Linked DNA regions of Lepisosteus oculatus. The protein of the gene in region 1 purifies or fractionates together with the protein of each later gene. This does not show direct contact. Links are inferred from orthologs where the notes say so. Each region holds a gene or a part of one and is shown on either strand. Other genes may lie near its edges.

Region 1 (17,406 bases):
TTCTTCTTACTGCTTTCACCCTCCTGCACAAAGGAGGTGGAAGGAAAAGATTGCCTCATTAAAAAAAAACCAACAGCCCAAATATCATTCATCACAGCCCTGACACATGATGCTTTCAGCCAGTCAAACCTTAATGGACACAATTTTAAAGGAGAAAGAAATCTTTCATCTTTAAATCAAAATGTTGTAATCACTAATGTTATCCCCCAAAAAGAAATGAAGTAGAACCAATGAAAATCTATTAAATTCCACATTTTCCTGGCCTCTAAACATTTAGACTTTGAGACTTACTGGGTGAAGTAGCAATAATAAAGGTTTCCCCTCTTTTCTAATGGATTACTACATTACACAGCTTTGATTACTGCTTTTAGCTATTTTTACAAAAGCATAATTATCACTTTCAGTTACAATTATCATTTTGGTAGCTGGCTCAAATCACTTCATGGCACTCTTCTAGCAGTTTGGGAGTTGCAGTATAAAAATGCTCCATCGCTACATCTAAATCTGCACCTCTGACAGGACACAACCCACATGAGTGATGACCATAAATCCAAAAATGATACTGGTAATAAGATCTATATGAAACCCACATAAGCAAAGCGGTATCATGTTACTTAATCTTGTGCTGCTGGACATTCACTATACATTTAGTACAAAGTTTTTACACAATGTATAAAGGAACTACCAGCTTCTCAGAAAATAAAACCTATCACACTTAAAAGCAGCTCCAAATAGTGAGCACCTATTTGTGAGAACTTAACTATAAAGCTAATGTAGAGCAGGCCAAAGTCCACCATTCAATGGAAGTATGCTGGACTGTGAAGGCTTCCTCTTGATAATTTTGCAGACCAACTCCCTCTAAAGCCACATAACCAGACAATAAAGGGATAACCATCTGCTTCTTTGTCGCAGCTTGGAATGACGAAAATGAAATTTAAAACATTTAAAATTCGAGACTGACAAATGCAATGACATCTTGTTCACTGGAGAGGTTAGGACTAAACTTCTCAGGCATAGTTGCGCAATTTGTTAAGGGATTTAAATAAGCTTTAGCCTTCACACCAACAAACCCCTGAAATAATCTTAAATCACGGATTATACTGAGAAAAAAAATCAATTTCAATGCATAGCACTGAAGAATTAGACCAGAATTTTCTTGCTCTGTACACAGTTCCCTACAAGCACAGACTTGTACCTCTGGAGCTGGTTCTTCTTCCCCTGCTTCTTCCGTAAGTTTTATTTTCTTGTCTTTTTTCTTTTTCTTCTTTTCTTTCTTACTCTCCACATCTGCTTTGGGAGCGGAAGGTGTAGAGGGGGCAGGTGTTCCATCGCTTTCACTGTCGCTTGTTTCTCTCTTCCTCTGAAGAAAAAAAAAATCAATTACTTCTACTACTACTACGCAGGCAAGCCATGAAAAACAAACCACCACAACCTTAAGGAATTAATCTTACAATCAAGGTACCACTGACATAACCTGTGAGAAAAACTAAAACCTGTGGGAGACTAATACTGAGCTTGCCAAAAATAAATTCTCTGGTTTTCACATCTGCCTCTCTTTATTCTTAAGTTACTGTTAAAACATGTTCGTATTTTGTTAAGACCAGTATATGCTAGACTGCAAAAGTTGCCCTACTTTAAGCAAATACAACTAGCACATTTCAAGCATATTAACGTCCCATGAAAAAAGCAGTTTCTCCTTCTTGCGTCATGTTACAGAAAATAATGGGCCTACCTTGGCAGTTGGTTCACTTGGTTCTGCTTCAATTTTCTTCGGCGTACTGAAAAATAGAAAAGATTGTCATTAAACACAAAATGGAACTCTAAAACAACGTGGGGGATAGGGTGTCATCACAACACAGTTTTGATGTTTTGGCAATTCATCCTTGTTTATAATCTGCAAATGAAAGTTTAGGGATCACAGTAAACTGTACCACACTAGATAATAGTACTATTCTAAATCAGAGAAAAATATTTCAATTAAATGAAGTACTGAAGAACACACCAAGATTTATGGTGCAGAATTAATAAATGGGAAAACAGTTCGCTATCTTCAGAAAGTTAGAGAAATATGATAACCTATTATATGAACACAAGTGTGCCAGTTTTAAATTCATAAACATATATCACCCAGAACTATGCATACACTACAGCTGTGAACAAGATAAAACTTTTCTCCATACCTGTAATCTACATATTGTTCCTTCCAGTTAGCTGGAGTATTTCCATTAGGTTTTCCATGCTTGTCCAACAAGCCTTTCTGAATCATCATTTTCTTCTGGCTTGCCTGAAAACAGCATTAGAAAATTAAAGCAACCTTTATGTACACAGTTTAACAAGAAGCCAAACAAGTTTCAGCATTACCTTTGGCCCTAGGCCCCATTTACGAGGATAGGTGTCTCTTTCCATGATGACTCTCTTAATCTTTGCCACAACTCCATGGTCACAAGTGGAAATTACTGCAGTGGTCATCAGGGCGATTGCTAGAAGTAAAAATGACCAAATCCAAAAACATAAAAAGGAGTATTCTTTTTTGTGAGATATCCCAAAATTAACTTTTTCCAGAGCCATCAGCCATGGGTGATAGATAGATGGTCATCTTTGCAAGTGCTAATGCAATCTGTTGAACATCACTTGGCCAGGATCTTATTTTCAAACATTTCAGATATTCCAGCTCCGCTTCCTTGCAGAATAACCAAGAAAAGGTAGGTAACCGATGATTGCTTACCAATGCAAATAGCTTCTCCTTTAGTAGTGATGACAACAATCTCTTGGTTTACTTCAATGCCATCTTCATACCGGAGAACACCAGGCAGCATGATCTTTGCACCATAGCAGATTGCATTGACCTGTAAGGAAGACACTTGTCAACACTGTGCATCTTCCATTCACTACAAAAATCAGGCTGAATGATCATCTACGAGCAATGCCATCCTTTCATCTTCAGTTTAGAATGGATTTGTGTTCCCTACCACTGAGTTTGTTTTACATTTTAGCTAAGATCAAAGAAACACAAACCATTCTGGAAGGGCTGGGCTATAGACCAGAATCACCCACACTCTAAGATGACCTTAAATGCATTAACTTGAATGTTCAAATGATAGCAAATGCTTTTGATTTCAGGAATTCTTAAATCTAGTGTGGTTTGCCTTCTTCAAAAGATAGAAGACAAGTATTTATACATTTAACAACTAACTCGACAGCTGAAATTGTTTACAGTCGGGGACAATGCTTACTTCGATCAGTAAGTAAAGCATTTATAAGATGAAAGAGGACAAAATGATTCATACTGAATAACTAAAAACAGTTCCATTTTAGCTTCGCAGCATTTGTTCTTTAAACATCATTAGCTCTAAGGCCGATTTAATAAAAAAAGGTATAGCCATACCGCACTGTCCTTCATAACAAGACGTTTGTGTGACACAAGGAGCTTCTCTAGTGGATAGATGACTCTCCTCAGGTAGGTTTCATCCTTGTTATGGTCATACTGCCACTGGGCATCCAACACATCGTGCATGGTAACCAAGTTGTCCTGAAAAAAGGATAAAATAAATAAGTTTTCCTATTGTGTAATAACATTGTCATTATGATTTCAAACAGTAAGGCTCTCATCTTTGAAAGGTGTCAAAAGAGTACCGTGTAACAAAGTACAGCTTTGAAATTTTGCTTTTATCCATAGTGACTCAGATTCAAAACAATGAAAAACAAAATGAATGTAGGCAAGGATTCAATGAAATGGAAAAACAATTTAACCATTCCACTCATATCCTCCTCCATGCCATTCCATGTACCAAAGCTCAATTACCAGAGCCAGGGAAAAAGCCCAGCACTGAACTCAACCACTTTGGACAACATTTATTACTTAAGCCAGAATGGTCCAATCCTGGTCCTTTATAGGTCTAAACCTGGTGTTTCTTTGAAAAAGCAGAGCCTGAGAATAACTGTTAAATAGGTCCAATAAAGCCAGTCATCAGCTGGTTTATCCTGTCAAAAGCCGGTTTTATAAAAAGATTTTATTTCAGACCAACAAGACCAATACTGGAGACCCTTGACCTCAGTACAAGCCTCTGGTTGGAAAGAGGGAAGCGGAGAAAACAGTTTTTTTACCCGCTCTCCCAGGACCCCAGACCGCACTCGCCGAAGCTCCTGCATCTGTCCCCCAACTCCCAGCAAGAGGCCAAGGTGAACACACAGGGTCCGGATGTAGGTACCTGCCTCACAGCTGACCCAGAATATCCCTGCAGAATACCAGTTAGAAACATGACTGGAGTGAATACTACCCACCATTAATACATGAACTGGTAAATCACTGCAAATATGGTCTGCGTTCATTTTTTCATGAAAAGTCCAAAAGCAGTTCCATTTAATCATCAGAGACCTGGCCTTAAATTTGTTTTTAAATTTAGCATTTAAAAGTTGAGTGTTCAGAACAATGAAGCACCAATTTACCTAATTCCAAAAATTTTAAAAACAAATCACTGGTACGCCTTTTATATCAGGCCTGCCAGATTAATTTAGTAACTAAACAATTACAATGAATAATCCAAGTTCAAAAACACCCCTCTTAACCACTGTTCCAGAAGCCATCAGTCATGGGTGATAGATCAATAGTCATCTTTGCACAAAGTGCTAATGCAATCTATACAACACATCATTTGGCCTCTTGTTTGGAGCTAATCATTAACTAGGATACTAATGCCCATCCTAAATTTAAGTTTTCTTCCGAGTATTTAAGGAAAGCAGAAAATTCACTCAAGCTTAATTCTTATCGTAACCTATAAGTAAATACCCCTTTGTACTCTTGGCACTGACGTTCCTCATCATGACTAATAATATTAGCAAGATTCTTAATAATCTTTACATTATTTTGCAATGGAGGATTTGCAGCTTTGCTGTGCTCTGAAGAAAACAGAAAATCCAGTAAAGTAATAGATCTCTCTTTTCCTTACCCAGTCTTCGCTCTGGATCGTACTCTATGAGTTTGCTTTCATAAATGGTTCTCACTCTCAACTGTCTCTTCACAGCTGCAATCAGAGGAGGCCGCTGGAACAAAGCCCCCGTTAAGGTTTCCAGTGCCTGAGAAAGAGGAGAGAGACTTGACACACCTGAGACAAACGACTTAACCGGAAGCCAATTCGAAGCTTGTACGTGATCAGACTGTTTGACTCGTCTCTGCAGAGGCTGGTTCTGCCTCTTGCTACAGCCTCCAGTCCTGCTCCAGCTCTCCAGACCCCTGCTCCACCCCCAGCAGAACACTGGAATGGCCGAGCCGAGTCTGGGAGCCGTGACACTCAGGCCTAGAACAGGTCGTGAGTGCTGCAGAGACAGGGGCCAGCAGTGCTCAGAGAATGGATAAACAAGTTCATCATCTCACATACATTGCTGCCGCAGGAAGAGCACGTCAACACAGCTCATCCAGAAGATTGAGCATCAACAAATGCAAGATTTTTCCTGTGTGCTTACTCAAAACTGAGGCTTTAAGCATTGTAACAGCAAAAAACATTTCAGTCAAAAAAAAAGTCCCATAAACCCACTTTCATAAAAGTCAAAGTGTCTAACCCCATAAAGTAGATGACTTCCTCTCATAATAAAAAAGCAAGCTAATTGTGGAATAGTGAGACAGGAAAAAACAGGTGAGCCACCCTTGTCATCTTATGTGAAAATGCAGATGCTGAAGTGACATAGCTTAAATGTACATTAACTTCTTTGCAAGCAAACTTAAATGATTTGACCTCCAATACTGAAATTTTTACTTATTTTGTGAAAAACACGTTTAAAAACTGCTTTAAACTGATTTCTAAAAGGCTTTGGTTGATTTATTAAGCTTGTGGACAGTTTGTACTTTGACATTTTTTCTTCAAACAGACAAGCAATAGCCATACTGAACATAAACTATATTTAACATATGTAGCTACTTTCCACTGATTTGCTAAGGAATCAAATAAAGAATAAAATGACTTAATGCTGTAAGTGAGAAATTAGGTCAATTTTTATGTTTAATGATAAAACGTAAACCCTGTCTTAAACTGGTTCACATAAATGTGGAATTACTATACCATTTTTCTAAATTAAAGACCAATTTTAAAATAAAACTTACCCTGGAAAGCTGAAGCTCATTCTCAATAGCATTGTGCAGCCGAACAATTCCCACATACTCTTTGCCTGAAAGCAATAGCAAAAGAGTAGTCAGGAGAAGCTGCTTTTTTTCCTGTGTCACTTACAAGTGACTATAATTCACGATTTTCAGAGACTGAAAGAAGACAAGAAATACCCACTCACCAGCGCTCTGCTGGGACTTCACCAGACGCGTGGCTCTGTCTACACACACTATGAGACAGCCTGTGACTTTAGGGTCCAGAGTGCCACTGTGGCCTGTTTTCTCCACACGAAGAATCCGACGGATCCACGCCACCACTTCGTGAGAGGATGGGTTGGCGGGTTTATCCAAGTTAATAAAACCGGTCCTACAGATTTTAAAATATTTCAGTATAACTTCTAAGAATAGGAGATCACTCAGTATTAACTCAGAAAAAACAAATGCATAACACAAGGCCTACTAAAGGAGTTGTAATGGTTGCCTTAACATTTCTCCCTGAAGCCATCAGTCATGGGTGATAGATAGACAGTCATCTTTGCACAGAGTGCTAATGCAATCTACATAAAAACATCATTTGGCTTCTTGGATGTCATCAATCTATGAAATTAAAGCATTCTCTCAGATCTTAGACAACTCTTAAAGTAGAAAATTCTAACAATGTAAATTTGTCTGGTGTAAGGTAATATCTTCCTGCTGTAAGCACTAAAATACCTAAAACAGATTAATAAATCTTTCAATGTTAAACAGACAACCTGTTTCACATTTCACACAGGACGAAGAGTTTAAGTGCATTTTTCAAGTTAAGACTTTGCCAGCATTAGTTTCAATTAGAAAACCAAGATCCCTAAAGATACAGCAAAAAAAAAATTGTACCTGACATAATCCTGAATATTTCTCTTCAAGGGATTTGAGCCACTTGGGAGAGGTGTATAATGTGCTGTCCTTATGTTCAGCTTATCAAAGTTCTACAAAAAAAACAAATGAAAAAGGAGATTTTACACAAATGTATTTAGCATACCACCTTTGTCACACCTACACCATCCATCCATAAAGTGTTACTTTTCAAAGTGTCACCCAATTCTTCATTTAATACTTAATGGAATGGAAGAGAGGAGAAAGTCAAGGTTTTTATATATTGCTTACTGTACACTTCCTGAAAAAAATCTTTAATGAGCAAAAAGGCACAAGGCCAGGTGAAATGGTATTTACATTAATGTGCTGTGCTGCCTTACTGGAACCCTCCAGCACCGCATATACAACACTGTGTATTTGTAGAACTGTGATCTGCACCTTCATTCAGGTACAGTGATAAGGGAAATAATTCTGTATAAATCTGTTACTTTTTGGATTGAGAAGCAGATGTCTTACATTGTGCATATCCCAACAAAGTGAGCTATATTGTCATGTGAGGCAAGTACTGATCATTGGATGTTCTTTGTGCAACAGGCTACTTAACCCCTCCCCATCGAACTTGTGCGATCAGACTGTTTACTCGTCTCTGCAGAGGCTGGTTCTGCCTCTTGCTCCAGCTCTCCAGACTCCTGCTCCGCCCCCAGCAGAACACTGGAATGGCCAAGCCGAGTCTGGGAGCCGAGACACTTAGGCCTAGAACAGGCCGAGAGTGTTGCAGAGACAGAGGCCAGCAGTGCTCAGAGAATGGATAAACAAGTTCATCATCTCACATACAACACTATACATGGGAGCTTCCTAGAAGGATGACAGGAACGTATAATAATTATCTAGTTACCTTCAACAATAAAGGCCACTGAGAGGTATCAAGTGTTGGAATTTTGGACTCCGGTTTGATGAGGAAATCACCCATCTCTTGAAGTTCCTAAAGCGGGGGGGAAAATCCATTTGATGTTATGAAAATTTTAAATTACAATGTAAGCAATTATAAAAACTTCAAAGTTTACTGCACCCAAAAAAGTTGCTAACATTCCAAAAAAGCCATGTTACATGGAACCTACCCCAACTTCATCATCGGCAACTTTTTTCTCCTTCTTCTTCTTGTGCTTCTTAGCTGAGGAAACTGAGAAAAGAGAAAAGAAGAAACCCAAGAGTTCAAACCGTGGAAATTAATCATTCTCAGTAAATAATCATGGACTGTTGCTGTAACATTAGCACATCACGTCTCTTGATATGAATAATCATATGAATTAAGGTTACTTTCCTATAATAACTCTTACATCTGTAAACTCTTCTGGAAAAAAACAACAGGCTTTCTACATATAATTATTAAACAAAATAAATTCTTGGAATAAGAAAATCATCATGTTTCCATCATCAATGACAATTAGGAAAAGTCAAGTCCCTAAAATATTCTAATTTAGCAACTCTTCAGAGCATTCATGATCATAATTCGCACATAATGTATCTTTATTTGATTAATAATAGACATGCGGGCTGCATTGGTTTAGGGAAAACTGTTCAATACAACCACGTGGCAGACTCTGAAAACACGTGGTGACTAGAAAAAGACCACATTTGGCGGTGTGCAAGGCATTAATTTTTAAATGGATAAAAAAAATACCATAAGCACAATTGACTCACTGAATTAAAACGTATAGAATAATCGTTTTTAGTAATATCGTGCAGCATTCAGCAATCTTAAAGCAAATGTTAACTTTCGCTTTTAACTTCAAAAACAAAATTACAAAATTACAAAAGCTTGCTACTTCATCGATGAAAGTGACTACATTGTGGATTATAAAAAAATATCGAATGCAAAAAAGCTAGGTACATCCTCTGCAACAGTGAAATTCATGTATCTCTTCCTACTGTAAAGTTTATATTCAAAAACACAGCATTTAATGCGTTTGTACCCTACATATTAAGATTCAAGATCGCAATTATTAAAATTAAGACGCCTTAAATAGTGATATACACGTTGTAAGAGCCGGATTGATCAAACTTAAGATGTAAAAATACAGGCAAGTTGATCATTTATCGTCTAGTTGCACACTTGCCCCATGCAGCACACACGAGGTGAGATTTATTTTCTCTACAAAAGATCCAGTCTTAAATCGGTCTCAAAGAGCTTGAATTACTTTGTCCTATGTATCTCAGTACAATTGACTACTACTATTTCCCCTCGAATTGCATATAAAAATAAAGAAAAACCCAAAATTATTTTCCATGCCTACCCTCTACGTCCGCCATCTTCACTCTCTCAATGTGGAAAGGAACACGTGTGGTGTTCACTGCGCATGTCCTTTCCCGAGTCTTAGACCCGTGAAACACCGCGAGAGTCTGTCCTACATGATGTCATTTCTATTGCCTAAACAAATATGGGAGTTATTAGTTCAGCTCCTCTGTCTAGTGCGAGCTAGTGTGAAGGTTACTTTAAGGATGGATTAGTTCTAGTGTAAGGACATATTAATCGTATCGACTTGAGTTATTTATATTATTATTGTTGTAAATTAGAACAATGGTTAATATTGCTGCATTGCGATGCTGAGATCCTGGGATCAATTTTTGGTTTGCTGCTTGCAAGGACTCTGCATGTTCCGCAGTATTTGTATGGGTTTCCTGTAGGTGCTCTGCTTTTGCCCCACAGTCCAAAGACATAATGGTAAATTCATTGGCTTCTGCAAATAGACCCTGGTATGACAATGTGCGTTTTTGGTGTCTGTGTGAAACCTGTGATGGACTGGTATCCAGGGTGCATCCCACATTTCGCCCAATGCTTCCTGGGATTGGCTTTAATTCATCATGTCCCTGAATTAGATAAGTGGCTTTTGAAAGTGATGTGATGTATCATTTTATTTATTAATCTAAAGTTATTGACATTCTTTTTATTAATCTAAAGTTATTGACATTCGTTTTCTGTCATGTTTAAACAGGAGCTCCATATTGAGAGGACCCTTTCTAAACAGGATTTTTCCATCTCCTAAATTTAGTTTGACTCCATGAAATGAAATTATACATGAAAGGGAGGATTCATGAATAATATCTGGATTATTGTTTGTAATTAGAAATTAGATTCAGTACATCAGGTTTTTCACTAATCCCATGATTGTATCATAAACAGACTCCTTGTAGAGCCTATTGTGATGAAGCAGCCATGCTGTTGTATTAATATCTTTTCACTGTTAAAAAATGTATTTCCCAACCCTTCAACCAAATGTATTACCAACATCTTAGTTTCTTAATTTGCTTTTAGGTTTTTGCAATAAATTGTGATGAAAGTAGTAGTAAGACTAGGACTCGGGGTGTTTAGACAAAGGCTGATAGTGTCCCCTTGGGATATAGGCAGAATATGAATTAGAAAGAAAATAAAGAATCTATTGGCAAAAGGGGTGATTGAATAGAGGTACGTAATAAGCCTTAAAAAAACATGATTCCCTACAAAAAGTACGCACAGGGATGTAGCCTTTCAAAGAGCTCTATTGATGGGGTTACTGGCAGTAATGACAAGAGCACTTTCCTCTGGCTAGAGCCAGACCTAAAAATTTATTTTATGTCCCAAAAAGAAAACCACCTCTCGCACCGTCTCTCAAAATCACATCTTAAAATGTACTATTGAATTAATGCATTTTCTTTTAATTGCGCAACTTTCTATTTCTATTGTATTTAAGGGAAGATGTTGCATAACAGATGGTGTCAGGGTGCCCTTTTTACAACGCAAACACAAAACAAGTTCTATCTTCAGAATAATGAAGCTGATTTCTGCCAGTTATTATTAGCTTGGGCTAGGTTAAGTGGCTGGTTTCTTCGCCAGGGCTTCATTCTTTGTTTCCAGTATTAAGAAGAACAACACTATAACATGTATTAAGCAATAATTATATGTGGGCTCCAGAGTTGCTCAATATGTGAAGATGCTTGCTTGAGGACTGGCACTGGCACTGTGTGTTCCAAGCCCGGGTTAGGTCACTGTGACTGTGATGGGATTTCTCAAGTGGTTGACACATAATTGACTAAGCACAGCACAGGGTAGGGTTGGCATTAGTTAGCAAGGGCGCTTTTAGATCCCAACAAAACAGCAATTACTGCAAGCCTGCACCAGGACTGGCAAAGGAACTGCCTCTCCTTCAATTGGAGAAGTGCCTCCTGTGGCGAGCTGCGTGACCTGAGATGTATTAACAGATCAATGACTCAAAGGTGGGGAGGCCAGACACATCTGTCTGCACTTCCTTGTTGTCACTATGTGTTGGTACAAGATATGCACCTGTGAGCCGAGACATGAAAACACACAATTGCCAATTCCAAATTGAGTAGGTTTATTACCAAATAATTATTTGGAAGAAAGGTGTTAAAAATAATTATATTCTACTATCAAAATTGTAGGGATTTTTGATGATTCTTCATATCTTTTTTTTTTGTCTTCATGTGTCATGCATTTTGGTAGTTAACACACAGTGAAAAGGTGCAAACTTTTGCTATATACTTGGCAATTTAGCCTCCAGTGACCTCAGGAGTTGGGCCACTCACTTCACACTTAGTACTGAAAGAGGTAGCAGCCCACGGCCACTCCAAGGCTGTTTAGTTCTGCCCACCAACAAGCAGGATTTAGACCAGATTAACAAAACTCTAGGGCAATCAATGTAAAGTTTAATATAATTACAATATACAATATAGAGTGATCAGGACTTATGCATCCAGCCAAAGTATTTGATCTCGTGTCTAGAGTATGCAGGGTCTCATTCATAAGAGTTTTCTCTGGTTTTACCAGCTGCCTTTTGTTGTCTACGCTATATTTTGCCCTTAGGGTTAACTCCCTTTGGCTATATCTGAATAGCCCCAGTTATATAGATATAGTTCGGTACAAGAAAAGCTGTCCACATTTTCTATGTTCATGTGCTGTTTGGGGGAGTTTTAGCGTAGTGGGTAAGTCTCTGGACTCACTTTGGGTTGTGGGTGCAATTCCCTTCTGCAGACTTTACCCCACTTGCTGCAGTCCATCGGGGACCATCAGTTATTGGGTGGTAACCCCAGTGATGAACCAGAGTCCTGTCCTGAGGGGAGAGTGGCATAATGTCTGCTTAACACCAAAGGAACCATGATAGGCTCTGGTGTATTAAGCCAGTGTGGTTCAGATTTTAAGGCAAAAAGTTTAACATAAAATAAATAATATAGTACTGTATATTCAGGTAAATTATATCTAATATGGTACAGCAGTACCCACTTATTCCATATACACTTTGAAGTGAGGGGCCTATTTTTACTATTGCTTCAGCAATAAACTGATCCCAGTCCACGACAAGATCACTTGGAAAGGGTACTTAAAAGTAACTTTTTTTTCAATTTGGGCTTAATTTGGAGACTTACTGTATGAAAAGATGTTGTATTCCATCATAAATAAAATGCAAAGAAGAGAAGATAAAAGTGGCAATTCCAACAACCAGACGTAATCTTCTAATCTTGGTATATCGTTGTGTATTAGTATTGTCACCATTTTATCTTATTATAAACATGCACATTGAAAGCATTTTATATACATATACATATGAAACCAAAATCAAATAACAAAGACCACATAAGAAACAGCTGTCATGTTCAGTGGCCTTTTTAAAATCAGTTGTAAAGGCCTTGCCATTGCAATAGCTTTGTGACTTAACTTTTCAATTTTTGAAACATACTAGACTCTATAAAGTCCTAGAAGACCAACTAAAAAAACAGGAGAGCCCTATCTAGTCATCATTATTGTTATAAAAGCACTGATGAGAAAACATCATTTTAAATAAACATCAAGACAAGGTATCCACTGATACAGGGATTTTCTAAATCAATATTTCTTATTAAGAATTCAGAAACAATGAAATACTAATATTATTCTTTTTTGACCTAGTGATCACTGGATTCAAATAGCCTCTTAAATTTATGGTTAATAATGTTCCCCATTTCTCACACTTCAGACTGGCAACTGAATGTATGGTACTGCTAATCAGCTAGAGGTTTTTATACGTAAAACACTATTTTGTTTAATGAAAGATGTGGTTATCAGAATTTACTCTACTCAATAGCTTCCCAAGTCCAGGCATATAAAACAAAATTAGCAATTTTACTAACAATACTTCTTGCTATTGAACTATAAAAAGAATTGGAATAGACCGTTTACACTGGCTGGATATGAAACAAACAATTACTTTACAGAATAATTTTAAAGGCCAGTGGTACTGTATCTCAATGTGTTATACCCTCTCATTTAGAATGGCTTTGAGAATTTTGTTGCACAGAATGCTATGTGCTACTGTATATAGTTATATTTGTAAAAGGTCATCTTAGAAGATGCAACTAAAAAAGCATGGTGAAAGACACTTGGATGAAAAATTAAATATAAGAAAAGGCTTTAATAAGGTTCTATTCTCTGGACTTTAATATCAACAGTTATCAATTTTAAATTCAGTTTAATCATGCAAGTTAATTTTCCCCATTAAAACTGTCTGATATATACCATTTCAACGTAAAAGAGAGAAAAGTTTTTTTTAAAAAGTGGAAAATTCGTAAATGTTTAATGTGGCTTTTTATTTTAAAATTTGAGCTTTAACACAGTTGATAAGAAATAAGAGACAGAATACAACCTTTAAACGAGTTATTCCAATAGCTCTTAAAAGCAACTGAGATTGCATTTCAGATGATTAAAATGTAATACTGTATATACAGAAAAACACAAGATTCCTTGATTCTTCACAGACTTGAAAGTGCCATTTCACCGAGTTTTGCTGAGACAATATGCCAAAATCACTTCAATTGTACTGGAGCAAGTCACTCTTGGTCATCCTTCTTTCTCCAGAAGCCAGGATGTTGCAATTTCATTTTTAGAAGGAAACAGAGGCCAGTAGAGTGTGATCTCGAGAATATGGAATGTAAAAAAAAATATAATTCCTTTTCAAGAAAGGACGTCAGCCAAGGATATAAGTGTAATAATTAAATAGTTAATGTCAGGGACAAAAAGAAGCAGGGACAGAGGGGTTCATAGAGGTCAAAGCATCTATGGTATTGAGATTATAAAACCTGGTAACATACTGTAGATGGAGAAACCCACATAAGAGTCATGCAGTTCTCATCCAGGAATGTTCTATCAAGGAGAACACCAGAAATGGCTTGTGCTCTGGTGAAAACGTCCTGTATGTCTCTTGGGGACAGGAAGCACAGACGTTGGTCATACCTAAGTTGGCAGGAACCCGTATCATACAACACAAATTTATGAAAAAACCAGACTCAGAAGCCAGGTTAGGTGTCATCCTGAAAGCACTGTAAACTGGTGCATTGTGCCTCAGGAGCATACTGTAGTGAGCAAGCAGCTAAAAAAAAACAACATAAATACAAGGGCTTCAATGTCAATTAAGATGAAATTTCACAGAGGGCAAAAACAAAAACCTGAAAGCTTAAGGAGCTTCATAGATTCTTCCCCTCCTCATGTCTTGTTGTTTTGCTTATTTCTTTAACAAAATCACTAGACAATGGATGCATAAAAACGTGTGCATCACGTGACTGAATTAATGCCAAACCAAAGGCAAGTTTGGAAGAAGGGAGCTTGGACAAGATACTCCCATTAGCCCTTAGTTGAAAATAATTCTTGGCACTGTCAAAGACAGTCAGTGTTATTCAGGTGAAAAAGACAGCAGGGTTAAGGTGAGTGCAAAGGGAGTGTCAGTAAGCAGGGTTTGAAGAATAGCACTTCTTGAGTCAAGGGGTGCATGCAGTAGTCACAAAACCATCTATGTCAAAGTCAAGAGGAGTCATCAAGGGTCAACTTGACAGATTCAACACAATAGTTGAGTGGAAGAAGAGTAGAGTACTACAGCTACAACGCAGCATCCAGCTCATATTTACAAGAAAAAGCTCTTGGGTGAAGTATGCTCAAGTCTGACGTAGAAAGCCTGTTATAGAGAAAAGGAAAGCAAATACGAGAACAAAAGAAAGATTGGTAATTATCAACCTGGAGAATGGAAAGAATCGTGCTCTTGTTCTTAGTCCAGCAAATCCAACTCCAATTACCAGACAGCTGCTCATTCTCACCTACCCAAAGTCTAATCTGGAAGCAAAAGGCACAAGGCAGGACCACACCTTGGACAGGACATCCGCCTTTCACAGGGTCACTTGCAAACAAGGACAATTTAGAAATACCAATTATATTTGCCGGCATGTCTCAGAGAGTTAGGAGGAAAGTAGAACCCATATCGACATGGGGAAAGCATGCCGACTCCACACAGAAGGCGTATGAGTTCAAAAAACAAAAACAGAACCCAATATTAATAAGGCTACAGTGCTCCAGAAAGTAAACAGTAATCTGCAGAATCCAAACCATGGCCCAGATTAAACAATTTCACTGGGATTGTAGAGGAAAAACAGACAGGTCAGAGTGATGTTGCAGGGACATTCTGGATTGATACAGCACACTAGACCAGCAAATTTTAGTGACATGGCACATCCCCATTGGTGATGACTGTTTTCGATCTTTGAAAGAGAACAAGCTTTCATCTGCTAGACTGCAATGGCTACCACAGTGCAATCTGAATTCATGGATTCTGGAAGAAATGTTAGAATTTTTCAGGCATTCTGTTTGTGATTTATTTAGAATATGAAGCATACACTTAAGAAATACATGAAATCATGACCCAGTGACGTACGTAGGAGGAAAATCTGTGATTTTGTAATGCAAAAAGGTCAAAACAGCATTGGCTTTTTTTAGTGTTTTAAAAATTCTCAGAAATACTTTATTCCAGATTACTCTGCCTGATGAAGACAGCTTTCATATCACAGATGAAAAATATTTTCAAAAAAAGAACAAAGTATTTCTTCTTTCACTTCTTTCCAGTAATCATGAATCTTAAAATGCTGTATTGGACAGAAGTGTCTAGCATGTTTTACATGACGGTTCACAATTTTTAATACAATGTAAGGCACAATGAAAAAAACAAAATAAAATAAGTTTCATATACCGTAGGTCTCATTCATTAAAATGTTAATTAAAAAAATCAATTTTATTGAGCAAAAATAAAAAAGACCAGTCTAGTCTCAGAGCAGACACTTAGGATATCTTTTTTTTTCTCTTTTTTAAATATTGCTTTCCAGATACACTTACCCAAATCTAGAAAATTCTACTGCAAGCAAGCGATAAAGGAGTTCTTCATGTAGCTACCTGACCTCTGGACATTCAAGTGCTTTCATCATTACACAATGAGACTTATAAAAATTTGAAATTCTGTGTTGTTTCAAGTGATATTTTGATGGATATTTCTTATCAGTTAAAGTGCTGAGATGTATAGCCTAGTTTTTGATTAGGGCAGGGATCTTAGGTCAGTCCCCACAGTGCAGAGATGTCTCTAGATTTAGTTTTAAATGGAAATGTATTATTTTCTCAGGCAGAAAGACATTTGTATGTATTACTTTCTTGAGGTGATTGATTAAAACATGCAATTTGTTCCAGGTACTGTACGGTGCATTTAAACATTTGCAGACCTGGAGAGAAAAACTATATGTATCCAATTACTCAACAGTTAAACTAATTCAAAACCTGAGCACTCTGGCATTACAAAAGCCAGCAGAAGCCGCGACTCTCTAGGATGTGAGTGTGAAGATAAGGGAGTGCTTTGGTTTGTTAAAGCTCGTACTGTAAGTGCTGTCATTTGGAAATTTTGATGGGGGGACTTAGGCTTTGAGTCCCAGTGATCTTGCTGTATTGAGAACATCATCCCTGGTGAGGTAACAGCCACACAGTTGACGCAGGCCTGTGAATGATTCTCTACCGTGAAGAACTCTCCAATTATCAATGAAAAGAACCTACAAAACAGAAGAAAAAATAACCAGACATAATAAAGGAATTTAAATACTGCCAGTATTAACTATGCAAGGAATCTGTTTTTGATAAAACTGTAAAGGGAATTCAGCTGTAATCTTTTATTTACAAAGTAAAATAAACTCCTATGAAGTTCATTGCCATCTAGAACAAAGAGCTGGAAGAATGGAAGGTTTTTTTATTTATTTGTGTGAAGAACTATACACAAGACTGATGTGCTGTTTGTGGGAAAATATGTGAAGCAAGCATGGGCTTTATAGACAAAACTGATGGACATAAATTAAAAATGTAATCCCCAACAATAAACAACCACTCAAAGGACCTACAGTACTTAGGGTTTTTGTAAAACATCCGAAGATGGCTCAGCCCCTCCCACAAATCAATTACAGTGAAGGTCTTTCAAACAAACTTTAAGCTTTCCAGGCTTCCTCTAAAGAGATCTAGGACTTCACTGACATAAAGACTAGACAACACATAAACTAGACAAACACTAAAACCGTACCTTTCCTGGCTTGAGCTTGACCCAGAGTTCATTTTCAGGCTTTCTCAGCTCTGAGGTGAGAGCTCG
Region 2 (16,508 bases), on another chromosome or scaffold:
TAAACATTATGATATTTTAATAGGGGGAAAAAACAAAGAACAAAGGAGTTGGCAATTTGCATTTTACTTTGCCAATCTCACTGCAATTCCTTCAGCTGAGAACTGTAAATGAATGATTCTGATGTTTTATACACTGTGCTGGGTTTTGGCATTTAAAATCCTTTTATCCTTTGTATTTTGATTAAGTGTGTACTAGTTAAATGTTTAGTTAAATGAAACTTAAGTTAACCTTTTCAGACAACTTTTTATGATCAGTGAATAAAACAGCTAGGTTATTCTGATGATAATGATGAAAAACAGTTTCACCTAAGAACCAAATGCTAGTTCATACTGTACATGTATAAAAGTATGAAAAAATGTTTTATTAATATTCTAAAACAATTTAAATGACAATTTATGAGATTTCAAGTATGTGGCTATTTAAAAAAAATATATATTTTGAACTCCAATGAAAGGATTTTAAATATTCATTGGTCTGTTGACTGACACTGTCAATCGGAATGGATAAGCACAGGTTATAAAAACCAGCTTACAAAGGTTGAAGTGTGGGTGTTTTGTTAACTGTGAAATGCTAGAGAGTTAGAGCTAAGGAGCCTTAATGGAAATGCATCGAAATGACTTTGGACAAGTGTGTTTATTTGCAGGAGAACCGGAAATGGACATTGACCTAAGCCTGGAAAAGACCCTGGGTTTTAGGTCGCAATTAAATAAACAAATACAAATACCCTCTTGATTGTATTGTTTTATATTCATGTAACTGCCCTGCCTCTGATAGTAAGCATAAAGTCAGATAGAGCTCCAATGAAATAACTAAGCTTTTCCTTTTGGTTTTGCTTGCTTTACTAGCATTTGTGCTACACTGAGTATTTTCTTCCTTCTTTAGTTCTTGTGTCTTTAAAAGATGTCCCAACATACTTTATGAATGTTCCCCCATTATAATACACAACATATATAATAATACATTCTATGAATATATATAATATATCACTATCCCTAATGGAATGTATTTGATTTATTCATTTATTGTTCAGTGGGTAGCCAGTTAAAAAGAAAATAAAATAACTTTGAAAACATAATTTAATGAAAATAAATATTTTTAAGCTTTCAGTAAATTGGAATGAACTGTCAGTTCTTTCTCAAAGGTCTGTGTTGAAGAGGCAGAAGAGACACTTCCTGCAAATTTCTTATCTCTTCAGTGCAAACCCTTTCCTACTAGTTATCGTCAAATAGGCAGTTCAGTGCTTGGAAAGTAGAATGTTAATTTGCATGGTTCATCTTGCCTAGGTTCTCTTCCACTGACACAGTGCACTACTATTAAGCACCATTACAATCTTCTCAGTTATTTTTAATATTTTTTCCTTGAACTGTATAAAGAAGTCTGAAAACCCTCAACTTAAGTTTTTAAAACCACAATTCCAGTAAGGCACCAATTGTATAATAGCTGTGATAATGTCATAGGCTATTCTCATTTTTATGATAAGCTCATTTTGAAATGCCCCTGTGATCTATTATAATTTGTTAAAACAAACTCCAATTGTAGCGTTTATAAAAAGTTGGGCAATTAGATGAATGACTTTGCTTAAAACAACCTTAAATTACCCTACTAACACCTGAATCAGATGTCTTTTTCCATGACTGTTATCATTTCAATTGCAATGGGACAAATCCATCTATTATTAATTGCTTTTTCATATTTTAATTAAAGAGCAGTTCTGTTCAAAACCTCCAAAAGGCTGATGGATAAAAATGGATAAATAAATGACCCAGTATTATTTACTTTAATTAATAATAATTGTTCATAATTTTACTTAGCCTAGAATATTTATGGACATTCATGGGTGAAAAGGAAAACAAATATTTGGCCATTCATTGTATAATGAAAGAATGATTCTGTTATTTAAACATTCCTTTTTGTGCATTGCACATGCATATGTATATATTCCATAAACATTTTCGTCAAGTATTTTCAAATCCTAGTTCCACAGTGGTAAATGACCAACACAAAAGAAATAGGAACTTCTCAATCTGTCACTAACTTAAGATTAATTTGTTTAGGTATGAAGAGTGATCTCTCAGCTTTCAATGTCTGACCAAATATGCTATTGTTATTGTTCATACTTACAGTAAAACCTTTTAAAACGTTTTTTCCACACTGCAGTTTTACTTAGGTTCTTAGTTTCAAACACCATGCAGGAATTGAGTTTATTTTTTATCAGTTCCATACAAGTACCCTTTGTGGAGTGACTGGGATATTGTTGAACCAAAGGGCCAAAGGGACATTTTCCTTTAATATTATCCATTTCCTTCTTTCTTTTCTTTAGCTTTGAATGTGTGGAGTCAAATATTAATTGCTGCTTCATATGTCATTTCAAGTGTCAACTACAAGCTATAAAATAGTCAAGCTGTGCAAAAATCTGAATAATTTTGCAAGACACTGTATGTGAAATATTTGTGGACTCAATGAGGTGAAAATCACAAGCAAATGCAAACAATTCTTAATTATTTTTACTGTATGTCAGGCAAGATCACAGTTATTTGCTCATGCTGTTCCTTTGATTAAGATTTTAAGGTGTCAAGGACTCATTTGCATCTTCATTGGACTTTTATTTATTAATATTGGTTGATCAATAATATGTATCTACTACCCCACATAATAAAGGTCCATGTTGCTCTGTTTAGAAGACAAGGGCATTTTGAAAAAATCATGTATAATTTTAAGTGCCACTAAGCTCATAGCATTGTTATTTTTTATTGCAATTAAAATATTTATTTTTTGGAAAATGCTGTTTTGCTGGATAGAGTTTCAAATCCTTAAGCTCATGGTAAGGTTTAAAAATGTGAAATAAAGAGTTTTGTCCCCTGTTGTAATTTGCTGCATCCACTTTCTGTGTATACAAGCTAATGGAGAGGTCCTTAAGGCAGCCAAATAGTCCTTCTACTCCAGCCACATTGAGAGGTTTTGTCGTAATCCTTTCATTTATTCTTTACTTAGCAATAAAATGCTTGATTCATCTAATAACTCTATTTTTCCTTTATTGAACAATGTAACACATTCATACAATTATTTCACAACAAAATACATTGCATTAATAACCAGCTGCTGACCTCATCTCCTGCAGTCATGACAACCACCACTCTCCTACCTTCACAGGTTTGAGTTTATCTTCTTTTATTGCTGTTGATGCTGCCTATGTAACTGAGTTAGTAAAATGTAAATGTAAAATGAAACCCGCTGTTTGTTTCTTAAATCTTATTTCTTCACAGCTGCACATCTTCTCTGCTCTGTATATTTGCTAACAGCCAAATCAAGGACTGCCTGAAATTTGATCTTGTTCCTGTAGTCTTAAACCTAACTGTAACCTGTGTTAATATGAAACTGCCCAGGGCAGTTTAAATCCTAATTGCATACAGTACATGTACTGTATTTGTTCATCATAACTGGTCGCCTATTAAGAGCTTTTTAGTCAGAAAAAATGAAAAAAATTAAATTACTTAGTTGTGACAGGCTAGTTTTGCATACTAAAAGTGTTGAATTCACAAAAAAGTCTGAGCAATTCAAGCCAATGCAATGCATTAATAAGCTCCAGTAATTCAGTTGGTTGAAATAATAGCCAGAAGACACAGCACTCCCTCAAGTCCAGAGTTAAGACCAACTGTTTTCAGATACAAACAGATTGTATGTCCAGATTTTGGAGTACTCTGAATCATCATCTAGAATAACCCCTGTTGTCTATATGGCTCCCAGTAAAAATAAGAGAGGACTACAAAGTTATCCTGATCCAAATAGTAAACTACAGATTATTTTAAAGATTTAAAACTTGATTAAGGCTCTGATTTTGAGATTTTCATATTCTGCTGAAAACCAGGCAGCACCAAATGAGTCATAGACACACAATGTCCAAGTGTTTTGAGACATGTTTTTGCTAAGTCCTTTAATGCATTATTTATTTTTATTCAATTTGAATAGATTTGCTGTGCTTTTATCCCACTTTGCTTCTGTTGTATTATATATGTGCTGTTTTACAGTTCCCATTAATAAAATTGCATTATTATTCTTATTGTTGTTGAAAATTATATTATTAGAATTGTGTGCCAATTTCACTTTATACAGCACGTGTGCAGGGCAGGAATCAAAACCCATTTGCAACCTACCAAGACAATGCAACAAAGGACAAGGCAGAAGCACCTTTCCTTATAATCTGTCACCCTAATAGGTATATCTGTTGTGCTGTTCTCAACATGACCCTGCGCTGCAACCACAATCTCAACACATTGCCACTGTGAATACAGCTTACTGTGCTGGAAGCCACTATCTCAACCCTAACACCCTGGGTGCAGTATAGGAAGCTGATAAGTTGAAAATATTACCTCAGACCCAGCCATCCATTTTATAACTGTTTTATCCAATACAGGATCACCGGGGAGCAGGATCTGATCCTTGCAAGAAACAGGACCACCCTTGACGGGGCCCCAGTCTATTACAGGGCTCACACAGACATACAGTACACACACTCACAACAGGGCCAATTTCCCCAGAAGTCAATTAAACTACCAGCATATCTTTGGACTGCTGGGAGGAAACTGGAGCACCCGGAGGAATCCCACTTGAACACACGGAGAACATACAGTACCAACTCCATGCAGATAGCACTCCAGGATCTGAACCCAGGGCCCCAATAATATTCAGGTAAAATAAGTTAATAAGTGTGTCCTGACACCAGCACTATGATGACTGAAAAGGTGAACATATAAACATATGGGTAAATACAGCTGTGTTCGTGAACTAGATGATTCTTCTCCGGTGTGCCTGCCATCTATAGTTAATGGATATGAATCAAGAAACACCCTTGGGTCTTGAAAAAATGTATTCCCGTTAAACAAGATAAACTAATTCTCCCTGGTATATTTCAAAAAGAAATCCAAATAGTTTCACAAATATAAAAATACCCCTCCCTCTAGTTCTTAAATACTTGGCTATTTTTGGATCATCAAACAGAAGCCCTGCTATGTTAGCTAGACTGCTACAGCTCATTTACTGCAGCTTCATGCTCAGTCCTGCTTCTTGGATTTATTTATTTATTCTCCTCCTAGCTCTTCTTTGTTGTCTCTTTTTAAAGCCTAACATAAGGTTTGAACATAAGATTTTCTGCTCTTTTCTAAAGGGTTCTAGAAATGTAAAATTTGCAGTCTTGGGTGAATGTGGTCTCAGGAATTCCTTAACTGAATGGACAAGCTGTAGAAACACCAACGCACTGATCTAGATCCCAGACACACTGGTGTCTGGATGTGTGTGGGAAGGAGGAATCTCTCTCTTATATTCAAAACACCAGTCAATATTGGACTCTCTTAAAAAATAGAAAACAAATGTATACTATAATAATAATGTTGCTTTATTAGCCCTATACAATTTCTTGCATTAAGAATTTGTCTTTCTGCATACCCTAGTTTGCTCTCCATGAGACACAGACAGGGAGAGAAGCTTGGGGTCAGAGCACAGGGTCAGCTATTGTACAGCACCCCTGGAGCAGTTGGGGTTAAGGGCCTTGCTCAGGGGCTCAACAGAGTAGGAGTCCTCTGCCAGCTGCAGGACTTGAACCAGCAACCTTCCGGTCACAAGCACAGATCCTTGCAAAGGAACAAGTGTCACATTCGAAGAAGGCTCCACAGCCAAAATGCTTTGTTTCTTTTCTTCTCTTTTTGGCATGGAATAAACTTTTACTTGTTCCTTATATATACTATATCTAAGCATAATATATATATAACTACTTAACCATATCAAATATGTACAGTATATTCCTTAAAGGCTTGTGATTTTTTACCACCAACATACTAACATTGTAAAGGCATTAATACTGTATATGAAATGTTTTGGTTGTTTTGATGTACTGTGTACAGTATATAAAACACAAAAAACACACAGTTGAACAGTTTAAAACACAATATTACTGATCCACTTCTGCTGCAATCCTTCCTTTCTGCAATACTCCTAGTTTTAACATTACACAAATATACACCTGTAGTATATTCTATCAAGGAATACAACTAAGATTTTCTTAAATCTAGATGTTGTTTATGTAAAATAAAAACAATGTTAAATACAATTTTTAATTTTTATAGTATCTGAGAATAAATAAGGATGAGATGTTGTGTATTATCCACAGAATCAGTAATTACAGTGGTTTGAGTCCTTTCAGCCAAGTAGTCACCATAAATGAGTATTTATCTGGTTACATAATGGATTAGTGTATATATATACATGTATATGTATAATAAAGGTGGTAACATACAGGTTATTTAATAATCTGTAATATTTGCTGACCTACACAGCAGCTGTGCACTGTAACTTTTTTTAATAACCTCTGCTGAAGGCACGAGGAATTCAAAATGATTACCCCTGAGGATATCTTCTGACAGCGCAGTGTGTTCAACACAAATATTTATCATGTTCTAATATTTTCTGAAATTTTTCCTTTCATTTACTCAAAATAATTGAAGAAGAGATTAAAATAACCGGATCTCTTTAGCCGTCACCAGAGAAAACCATGAGAGGACTGGGTCTAATTACTTAAAATTCTCTAGGGCACCCACAAAACCAACATGATGGACTTTTTCAAGATCATCATTGACAGAAGGACCAGAATAAATTAGTAGAAACATAGGGTAAATGTGCTTAAGAATAAAAACAGCAGTGGCACTAATTTAGACAAAAACAGGCTCAGAAGCAAGCTACCCATCCCTGGTTCTGAAGTTAATACGTTGGCTTCATTGTGCTCAAATCAATTGATTCAAATGATCAAATGAAACAACAATAATTATCACCTAAAGGTATGTACCCAACATTTACAAATTCTCATTTACAATGAAAATCTGATCAAGAGGCTTTCACCACTGTTACACAGAATACAATGCACTGACTGATCAATAAAGCATTAATAACAAAGCATAATATGTCAATAAATGTAAGTGAAAATGCCCTCAGATATAAAGCTGGATACTTTCAGCTTACTTTGCAGATTTTTTAGTCGTTGGCATCAGCAAATTGAAATTCATTACACCAAAGGAGGTAAGAGTCTTGGGAAGTTCGTTCTGATAAACAAACTACAATACAAACTGTGAGATGCCATAAATTGTTTGGATAGGAGAGTGCTTTACAACTTCATGTTCTGGAAATTAAACAGGACGTGGTATGAATCATTTGTCTACTTTAAAGAGATGGCCAAGTAGTTAAACATTGTGGTGATGAGTGAGATAAAGGAGCATAAATATCAAATAGCAGAATGTTATCAGACTTTGACTTTTACAGGAAGAGGTTTTGAAGCAATTTGTAAGCTGTATCTCCATATTCCAGGGTGTGGAGTACCTATAATGCTTTTTTATGTATGTACTGTATGTACTCCACATTCTGTTCTATGGAGTGCTGTCTCTGTGTGCCGTGTGAGTACATACAGTCCAGCATCTCCAATCTCTAAAACTCCAGTTGATGACCTGCTTACCTCCTATCACAATGAAGAAAGTCTGTGGTCGCTCTGTGGTTTTAGACATCCCCTTCAGTTCTGGCCATCCTAAAGAATGTGGTATCCCATGCACCACTCTCTCCATGCTGCAAGTTTAGCTTTGAGTGGGGGGGAGGAAGATGATGTTGGAACCTACCTCTACTGCTCTGTGTAGAGTTCCTGGTGTCCTTGATATCTCCTGGGTGCTATGGTGCAAACTGCGTTCCTCCAGTTTTTTCTGTCTCTGTGTGTTGTGTGTGAGTCCACATAATTTCAGTTTTTGTCGTGGGCCTGGGCAGAGCTAATGGCTCAGGGCTGATTACCCAACTGCCTCTATGGCCCAGTGTTATGATGCATTGTTGATTTTAACCCCTTTTCTGGAAGCTCCCTCTCAGTCTGAATCCTTGTTACTTGTGTCTCACAAATGCATGTGTTACCTCTGAACTGCACAGTATACAGTATTATGAATGTCTGTGCAAGGAAGATCTTTGATCAATGGGGAGCTCAGGAACAAGAAAAGATGAATGCACCACTCTTATGACACTGGCCATTGTTTGCGGACTTAAAATTAATGAGCCCTCCTTATATTGTTCATTTATAGGACCTCATCACCTTATCCATCCATTTTCTGACTGCTTCATCCAATTCAGGGTCACACACGGGGATAACTTACAAACTCCATGCAGATAGCACCCCAGAACCAGAACTGAACCCAGGGCTCCAGCGGTGCAAGGCAACAGTGCTGATTACTGCACAATCATAATACATTTTTAATTGTATTCCAAAAAACAGAAGGGTCACATTTATTACCTCTCAATTTTGTTTAAAATTCAACAGAAACAAATCTACAGTAACATCCTACTTTTGGGTATTGTAATAGGAACCTTTGGAACTGTAGAAAAGGACTTTGAAGGTATCCTGTTTCCATGGGTTGTAAAAGGAACGATTACTGTATATGGAAAACATGTGGATATAGCATGTAGTCAGAGGGCTCTTTGAAGGTGGTAGACAAATGCACATTGACCTCCATAAGATGGAGGATTGTTGTAAAAAACTCCCCAAATCCTGAATCTACCACATTCTACTCTAGTGCTCATTCACAGAAAATTGAGGCTGCTGGTACTGTATAGTGGCAGATCTGCGAGTATATCTTGTCACCATGGGCTGTTTCAAGAGGCAATAGTTGTAAATCTTCAGTACACACTGGCATCTTCAGGGTACAAACAACCAAAATCTCTCAAATTTAGCATTCATTGCTGGGTTTCAAGAAGAAGTCTGTTCTGGCAGAGGTGACTCAAACTTCCCAAACATTATTTGAATGACAAATGAAACAATGTCTTGTGGTCAGATTAAATGAAAATTGATCTTTTTGGAAATACTCATCAGTTTTACAGTATGTTGTGATATTGTGTGGGGGCCTATAATGTTATGGGATTGTTTTGCATCTATACTGTAGGTCCTGGAATCACTGTCAAGATAGACAGCTCCATTCCGTACCGAACTCCGCGGTTGTTACAATACCTTCCAGAAGAGGATTACAAAATACTTACTACAGGGGTGTGACTAAAAATAACCCTAATATTTTCTTTACTTATTTATGTTCCATGTGGATACGTGTTGCCAAGATACCTTCAACTTCATTGTTGTTGGTTTCCACATAGTAAATTGTTACTTAATGTACTGGATTATAAAAGTAACAATGTATTGTAAGTCGCCCTGGCTAGGAGTGTCTTCTAAGCTTCTACTAATAAAAACATTGTGTGTGATGTTCAGGTCTTTTTTGCAACACATTAAAATGTGCATTTTTAAATAATTTCCTAGTAATAGTACAGTATTTGACCTTCTATACATGCTACAGTAATATTATGAGTGCTGTTGTATTAAGCACTTGCTTTTTACAAAGCGAAACGCAGAACAAGACAAGCAATGGCTATAGTTATTAATTCCTAGAATAAAGATACATTTTCTTTAAACAGAAAGTATTTTCACAAACATCGTTTCCTTATGAGCAATGCAACACACTTTTTTATTTTTTTCCCCATGCAACACACTATCAGCAGCTTTATCACCGGCGTGATTTGATGACGTATGTTCTTTCTGCCCTGCGTAGAAATAGGCAGCCGGAAGAACTCGTTTGAGATCAAACAACGTGTTGCACTATACAATATCAGAAAGGTAAGCACATGATTAGTATACGCAAAGTAATATCGCTTAAAGTTTTAGAAAATAGCGTAAACATCCATAAAAGTGACTCTTATAATATCTATTTTTGCTTGTCATAAATTATGCTATTCGCTATTTCTTTTCGAAACAATGTAGTTCAAACTTGCGGTAAATGCTGTGATCAACGAGCTTGCTGAAAATCTGCTGCCTTTTGGTTTTTAACATCAGTGCATCAATTGATTTTCATTTTTATTGTCTATATAAGGGTCGCGGCGGTTCAGCATGTATCTGAAACAGCCACTGTAACGTCAATTGTGTGAACATCAGTTGTAGCATCTTGTAAATTATTGTTTCAGCGTTCTTAACAGTGCAAATTTGCAACGAATTGCATGAAACGGATATCAGAAAAGTGTGTTTTCACATGTCCCAAACTCATACACTACGACATGCAATATCATACCACCACAAAGATGAATGAAGAAAAATATAGTTGTTAGAGCAGGACAGAATTGTAAGCAATAGATAAAGAGAAAAATGAGTGAGAATATTCTATGTAGATATTGATCACAGAAATAAAGTAAATAAATCTGTCTTGTTTTCCAGACTTCTTCGATTTCACATGTTGAAAATTTAAAATATTGTATTTTTCTTAACAATACTGCTACAGTTTGTGGTACTGAAATGTTTTTCAGACATTGGAGCATGCCAGTGGTGGAATGGTGGCACAGTGATTAGCATTGCTGCCTCCCACCACTGGAGCCCTGGGTTAAATTCTGGATCTGTGGTTTCATGAAATTGTCCCATCTACATGAAGTTTGTATGTTCTCAAAGTGTTCATGTGGGTTTTCCCAGGGTGCTCAGGGTTCCTTCCACAGTCCAAAGACATGCTGGGAGTTTAATTGGCTTCTGGAAAAATTGCTCCTGGTGTGTGTGATAGATACTTTATTGATCCTGTGAGGGAAATTGTGTGCTCTGTGATGGACTGGCATTCCATCCAGAGTGTACCCTGACACACTTGCTAGGACACTCTCCATCTTCCCTACATTGGTCAAAGTGGTTAACAAATGGGTGGATGGAACTTGTCTGTTTGTATTTTTATTGTGTGTATTTTGCCATTACACATTTAACTTTCTCAAAATAGGATAAATAGTTAAGTTTTCATGAAAAGTATTCATGTTTTTCTCTTTTTTTTTTCATATAGACAGTACACCATGGAACAAGAGCATTGTGAAACAGCTCTGGAGCATTTGGTAGATGCCAATACTGTGGTAAATACTGTAGAAACACAGAAAGACCAGAGCAGTGCTTTAGCTCCTGAGTTACTGGATTCTCTGACAACAGACTCTACAAAAGTTGAGACAGAGTCCCTGACAAATCCATTAAGCACTGGCATTGAAGATCAGTACTCAAATAGGCATATGGTTGGCACCAAGTCTCCCACACCTGGTACAAATGAAGTAAATGGCAATGTGGTAGCAGTGCCTGAATGTTCTGAGAAAGCAGAGAAACATGATTCTGATATACAAAGAGACGGGCCAGAATTTGATGCAGGTGGAGCAGGAGTTAAAAATACCGGAACTGGAATACTTGAAATGAATCAAGTGGCTGATCACACATCTCAGAGTGAAGACATGGAGATTACAGTGTCATCAAGAATGGAGACACTTAATTTTATGAACACTCCTGAAGCTGCTGAAGCAGAGAGCCTGCCGGCTGGGAAGAATGTTACATTTCCTCAGGTTTGCATGATATTAAGGAGTGATGACAAGGAGACTAACCCGAGTGAAGAAAGTGACGACAGCAGCTCATCTGAGGACTCCTCTTCCGACAGGTACGTACTGAACAGCCTTGTTGAAAGATTTTAAACATTTCAGAAAATATTTACAAAGTGAAAATGCAGATCACCCTATTTGTATGTTGTAGTAGATGTATGAAACATTTTACTATTCTGACTTATTCTACACTATCCTGACTTCACACCTCTTGATTGGCCTCTCTTTCTGTCCCCTGCTCCTGCCACTCGCTCCTCCTCTCTCCCAGCCTTTGTTCTTCTGCTACATTACCTTTGCTTACTGCCTTGTCTTTCTCACACCTGAAGAAGGCTCCATGGCCGAAACATGGTTTCTTTCTCCTTTTTTTCTGTATGGAATAAACCTATTACTTGTTCCTTTGCAGCCTACGCATGCTGACGCAGCTACCCACCTGAACTGAAACATTTTATGTCCACCTAAAACTTTTTTTGACCGGAAAAATGCTGTGAACCTATTTATAGATTAACATAGCAATACCACTTGCTAGTTAGATGTTATCAGATTTCAGAAGCTAAGCAATTTACTATTTACTGCTATATGTGTTCTTTCTTCCCAAATCCAATAATTATATGTTGCTGACCTCTTCAGCCAAGATGTTTCTTTGCCTTATTGTGGCAAGATGAAAAATATCGCCCTCAGTAGATTTTCACTACCCCGTTTATTCAGAGTTTGACTTGAGTTTACAGCAAAAATAGCATATTGCCGTTATTAAACATCAAATTATTAGATATTGTGTATTGTTTTTAAATAGAATCCTTTCTCATGTAGGGAATGTTGTTTGCCGTTTCAGAATTTTCCATTGTAACCTGTTTTCTCTGAATGATACATACAGATGTTATCATTCTTCATTTTGTGATTTATGGATTATTTGTTGCAGAACTAAGTTTCTGCAGTTTTTAAGAATTCAGTACATTTTTGTTTTAATTTCATGTTTTTATTTTGTAGTGATTCAGATTCCTCTTCTTCCTCGTCCTCCTCCTCTTCGTCTTCTGCGCTTCTGCCTGCTACACTAGGTGAAGCTGATGATGATGATGATGAGTGCATGGCTTTTGGTAATGGGAAAAAAGCACATCCTGTTAAAACTAAAGATGAAATTCTCATTGAGGTATGTTATGCAAATATTTTTGCCTTTTAATAAACAGTGTAACCTCTAAGAACCTTGAGTAGGCTCTGGTAAAAAAGTTATGGAGCTTTGTTATTTGTTACTTCTCTTGATAGCTACAGTGTCTTGTGTATTTCACTTTTTAGGCTGTACCTTAAAAAAAGGTAAAGAAAAAATGATTTTTTTCTCCTAAACTGCAAGCAACATGTCTTTTATCATTGACCCAAGAGCATGAAAGATATCTAGAATACCAAGGAGTACCACTGCATTGTATCAGTTTTATGGATAATTAGATTACTGTGACATTTGTTTTCATTGGGTCTTGTAGAATGTTTTGACAAAGAGGTTTAAAGTTTTGGGGTACAATACCACTGTTCAAACAATAGCAAAAACAGTTATTTTGAGGTTATTTTGCTTCTTCATGATTGCAGTACTCCATACATATATAGTATTGTTGTGCTTAGTTTTCAGAAATCACTGCATTATTATAATCTCACTTGAATTTATACCACTTTAGTCCTACTGCGCCATGTTGCATATTACCATTACAATCATATAGTGTTTTGTAGTGAACATAAGATTATAATTGGAAACAAAAAAGAACCACTAGTGGCATAGAGGTGTACATACTCACGACACTGCAAGCATTTGGGTTTTGTTCACGGTGTTCCAGTGAAAATATGTCATTATTCAAATTAAGTTGTTCTAATGCTTAAAATGGCAGTAGCTTTGAGGCAGGCAATGCTTTCTAAAGCATACAGAGTAAAACATTCCTCCAGTAATTTTAAAACAGTCAGTGAAAAGGTCATGTTTTATATCTATTATCATCTTTAATGCATATTTTGTGAGTTAAAAAAAAGTTCCAAACATTAATCAATGACAGCTAGTACATTACTTCACGGGAAATCTAATCATCTGCTAACCTAGAAGGTCTATTGTCATTGTAGTTATGAGAGCCTCTCCATCCATTTTCTAGAACTGCTTTATCCTTAAAGAGTTAATAAGTATTGCAATGTATGTATTAGATGTTGGCAAGATATTTAGCAGGCATGCATAAATTTTGAGCAATGCAACAGTTTTTTTGAACACAATATCATTTTTAACACATGCAGCATGTTTTTTTTTTAATGATGGTAGACAATGTTTCTGTAAAATAAAAGAAAGGCTTATATTTTGCCTTAGGTATTAAAGTCTGTAGTTAAAACTTTCCTTGTGCTCTTTTGATAACACAAGTGTGCCATGCATGCCTTTTGAAATCTCTTGCTCTTTCTGCATAGCAGCAGAGTTTGTTCAGACTGCACCAGGCTTTTAATTATGAAAAGTTTTTATAATTAATTTATGTAAATCAAATCAGTAAGCAAGATTATGATCTGCCTTAGCAGTTGTTTGTTTCACATGTTGAAAGTTAGCTTAGTGGTAGAATTACCTTGGGAGGTAGTTATTTCTGTTTAGAAGTTTTTTGTTATTGACATGTGTATCATTAGGTAGAAATACTTGACTCATATACAGTGGTGCTAGAAAGTTTGCGAACTCTTTAGAATTTTCTGAATTTCTGTATAAATTTAACCTAAAATGTTATTGGATCTTCATCTAAGTCATAAAAATAGAGAACTCAATAAAACAGATAACACACAAAATGATATACTTTTTCATTCATTTATTGATCAAAATGATCCAACATTAAATCTCTATCCAACTTGCTGTAGCTAACAGCCGCCTCGCTGAGGCAAGAAGGGAATCTCCAAGCTGGGACTTGGTGGTTTGGGCAGCTGTTGGCGTTTGCTGAGGAGAAGTGAGAAATGGCCAATTGAGAGAAGACAGGCAGGAGGCAGGAACAGGAAGGGAAGAATGCCAAGGGAAAGGTGCTAGCAGGACAGGATACAGGCAGCTTTTGGGCCTTTCAGATTTTGAGTCATAGGGACCGGAGTATGTTGTTATCCAGCTTTTCTGGTAGCTTGTCCTAAAGAAGAGCTCAAATGGCTGTTCCTGAAGTTTGACTTTTGAAGAAAAAATTATTCTTTCGTCATTAATTTATTAATAAAACTTCATTATAAGGCAAGTACAATTTACATTAAATATTACACATTATGGTGTGATGGTTATAATTATAATACTTTAAACTTAGTATTTTTGCTTTGGGTTCATGAATTGATTCATTTTATGAACATCTAAGACATTTCAAATGAGTGAAATCTATTCTTCCCATCTAGCACATTTGGTAAATAGAAATTAATTTATACGAGGATGTTATAAATCTATATCTTGAAATAATCAAGGGTATACTTGATTTAAAAAAAAAAAACTTCCCAATCTGCATCTATTGGCTGGTTACTTTTTTCCAGACCCTCACTGGTTTTCTATTCTAAAAGATCCTTCTGTTAAGTTTGAAAAGCACTTGTCCATGGTTTATAGTGTCCCCATCACTATACTGGGGAATTAGGACCCACATAGACCACAGCGTGAGCGCCCCCTGCTGGCCCCACGAACACAGTTTCCAGGAGCATCCTTAGTTTTTCCCAGGACGTCTCCTATCCAGGTACTGACCAGGCTCACACCTGCTTAACTTCAGTCGGTTGCCAGTTTTGAGTTGCAGAGTGATATGGCTGCCATAGTCAACTATAGCTGTTACAATATTAATAGAACTCTGGTCTATTGAATGAATGAAGGTTGTTCTGATTTATTTCAGATTTCAATTATATCTATCTTGCTTAATTAATAAACACCTTTTTAAATCCTTATTTATAAATTGAATTAGGTTTTAAAAATTGATGATTTCTATCTAACGTAATATAAAACCTGACGGGTATGAGCTTTTCAGGGGCAGGATTTGAGGCCCCTGTATTAATTTATTCTTTAATGCATATAGGACTTATCTTGCCCTTCTGCATGCAGTGTGGTTTTTTATACTCATAAACTGTATCATTCCTAGTCTGGTTTATTGGAATGTCAAGCCTTTCTTTTGCAGTCAATCTGTGATGTTTATATAATGCACTTCAAAGCATTGCATAATATGATTACAGTTTCTTAATAATTCTCTTACCTACAATGTTAAGTTTCAGAAAAGACTAGATCAATACGGACATTTTCTCTTGTAGGTTCTCTGACAAGCTGAGTAAAAAAGCCGTCATTAACCATTTGAACCATTTCTGGTGCTTCCAGTCCAGTCTGGTGTCATTTTTTACCAGTCTTTTTAACAAATTTAAAATCTTTCATGAAAGCCACTTCTTTTTTGGCACATATTCCTAATAATTAATATTTGAATTTGGTAACAAACTCCTAAGAGTATGCCTTTTGCATGTTTTTAAGTTTGACCTATATAGATTCTGAGAAATCTTGACTCAACTAGGTTATTGCTATGCACGTTTCTTTGATATACAGTAGAGTGCACTTCCCCCTCTTCTATCCATCCTCCTTTTCCAGAACACTGTGTATCCACTAATGTTATATTCATCACCAGCACTCTCCAGAAACTGTTGTGGTGATTCCAGTTACATCTTTATTACTTGCTAATGTCGTAGTTCCTATCTCATGTATAATGTTTTTAATAGTGTTTGCAGTTAGGTTAACAATTAGAAGTAAACTTTTAATTTGTGAGTCGTTCTTTGGATTCGTCCCCCCTTCAGTCTACTTTAAATATTTTTTTTTAGTTCTCCATGGATCATTATGAGAAGACATTATGTGCTTACCTCATTTAGGAATGGAATGGAACTGTTTCAAATGTGAAGTGTGGTGTTTAAGCCAGTGTCATTTATCTCAACTTAGACGATGAAGTATTGTCGCCTGCTTTTGTTAGGAACCTGTCTGTTCTATAAACATCATCAGCAACCTTAGCTCTAGGGAGACAACATACAGCTGTTAACTCAGAATTCTTGATGCATAGCTTACATACAGTGTTTCTGGGCATAGTGTCGTCATCAACCACTCCGCCATTATTTTTTT

Evidence for each region.
Region 2: the proteins of dkc1 (region 1) and naf1 purify together in Homo sapiens (co-immunoprecipitation; 7 studies listed by BioGRID and IntAct, counting the BioPlex papers as one, with this or other methods). This does not show direct contact. The link is inferred for Lepisosteus oculatus from reciprocal best matches to the Homo sapiens genes DKC1 and NAF1.

The regions. Positions count from the first base shown.
Region 1 is NC_090703.1:36,220,575-36,237,980, forward strand, and holds the start of dkc1 (H/ACA ribonucleoprotein complex subunit DKC1), read right to left. Parts: upstream 9,292-17,406; 5' UTR 9,257-9,291; coding exon 9,241-9,256; intron 8,127-9,240; coding exon 8,065-8,126; intron 7,929-8,064; coding exon 7,842-7,928; intron 7,777-7,841; exon of another isoform or gene 7,570-7,776; intron 7,060-7,569; coding exon 6,968-7,059; intron 6,674-6,967; exon of another isoform or gene 6,594-6,673; intron 6,462-6,593; coding exon 6,277-6,461; intron 6,160-6,276; coding exon 6,095-6,159; intron 5,372-6,094; exon of another isoform or gene 5,146-5,371; intron 5,074-5,145; coding exon 4,947-5,073; intron 4,658-4,946; exon of another isoform or gene 4,579-4,657; intron 4,236-4,578; coding exon 4,105-4,235; intron 3,848-4,104; exon of another isoform or gene 3,709-3,847; intron 3,530-3,708; coding exon 3,386-3,529; intron 2,847-3,385; coding exon 2,726-2,846; intron 2,637-2,725; exon of another isoform or gene 2,563-2,636; intron 2,481-2,562; coding exon 2,362-2,480; intron 2,285-2,361; coding exon 2,181-2,284; intron 1,779-2,180; coding exon 1,733-1,778; intron 1,361-1,732; and 3 more. Other genes in the region: tmlhe (trimethyllysine dioxygenase, mitochondrial), read right to left, coding at 16,691-16,822, 17,341-17,406.
Region 2 is NC_090696.1:22,505,661-22,522,168, forward strand, and holds the start of naf1 (H/ACA ribonucleoprotein complex non-core subunit NAF1), read left to right. Parts: upstream 1-9,614; 5' UTR 9,615-9,668; intron 9,669-10,857; 5' UTR 10,858-10,867; coding exon 10,868-11,487; intron 11,488-12,412; coding exon 12,413-12,572; intron 12,573-16,508. UniProt on the Homo sapiens protein: RNA-binding protein required for the maturation of box H/ACA snoRNPs complex and ribosome biogenesis.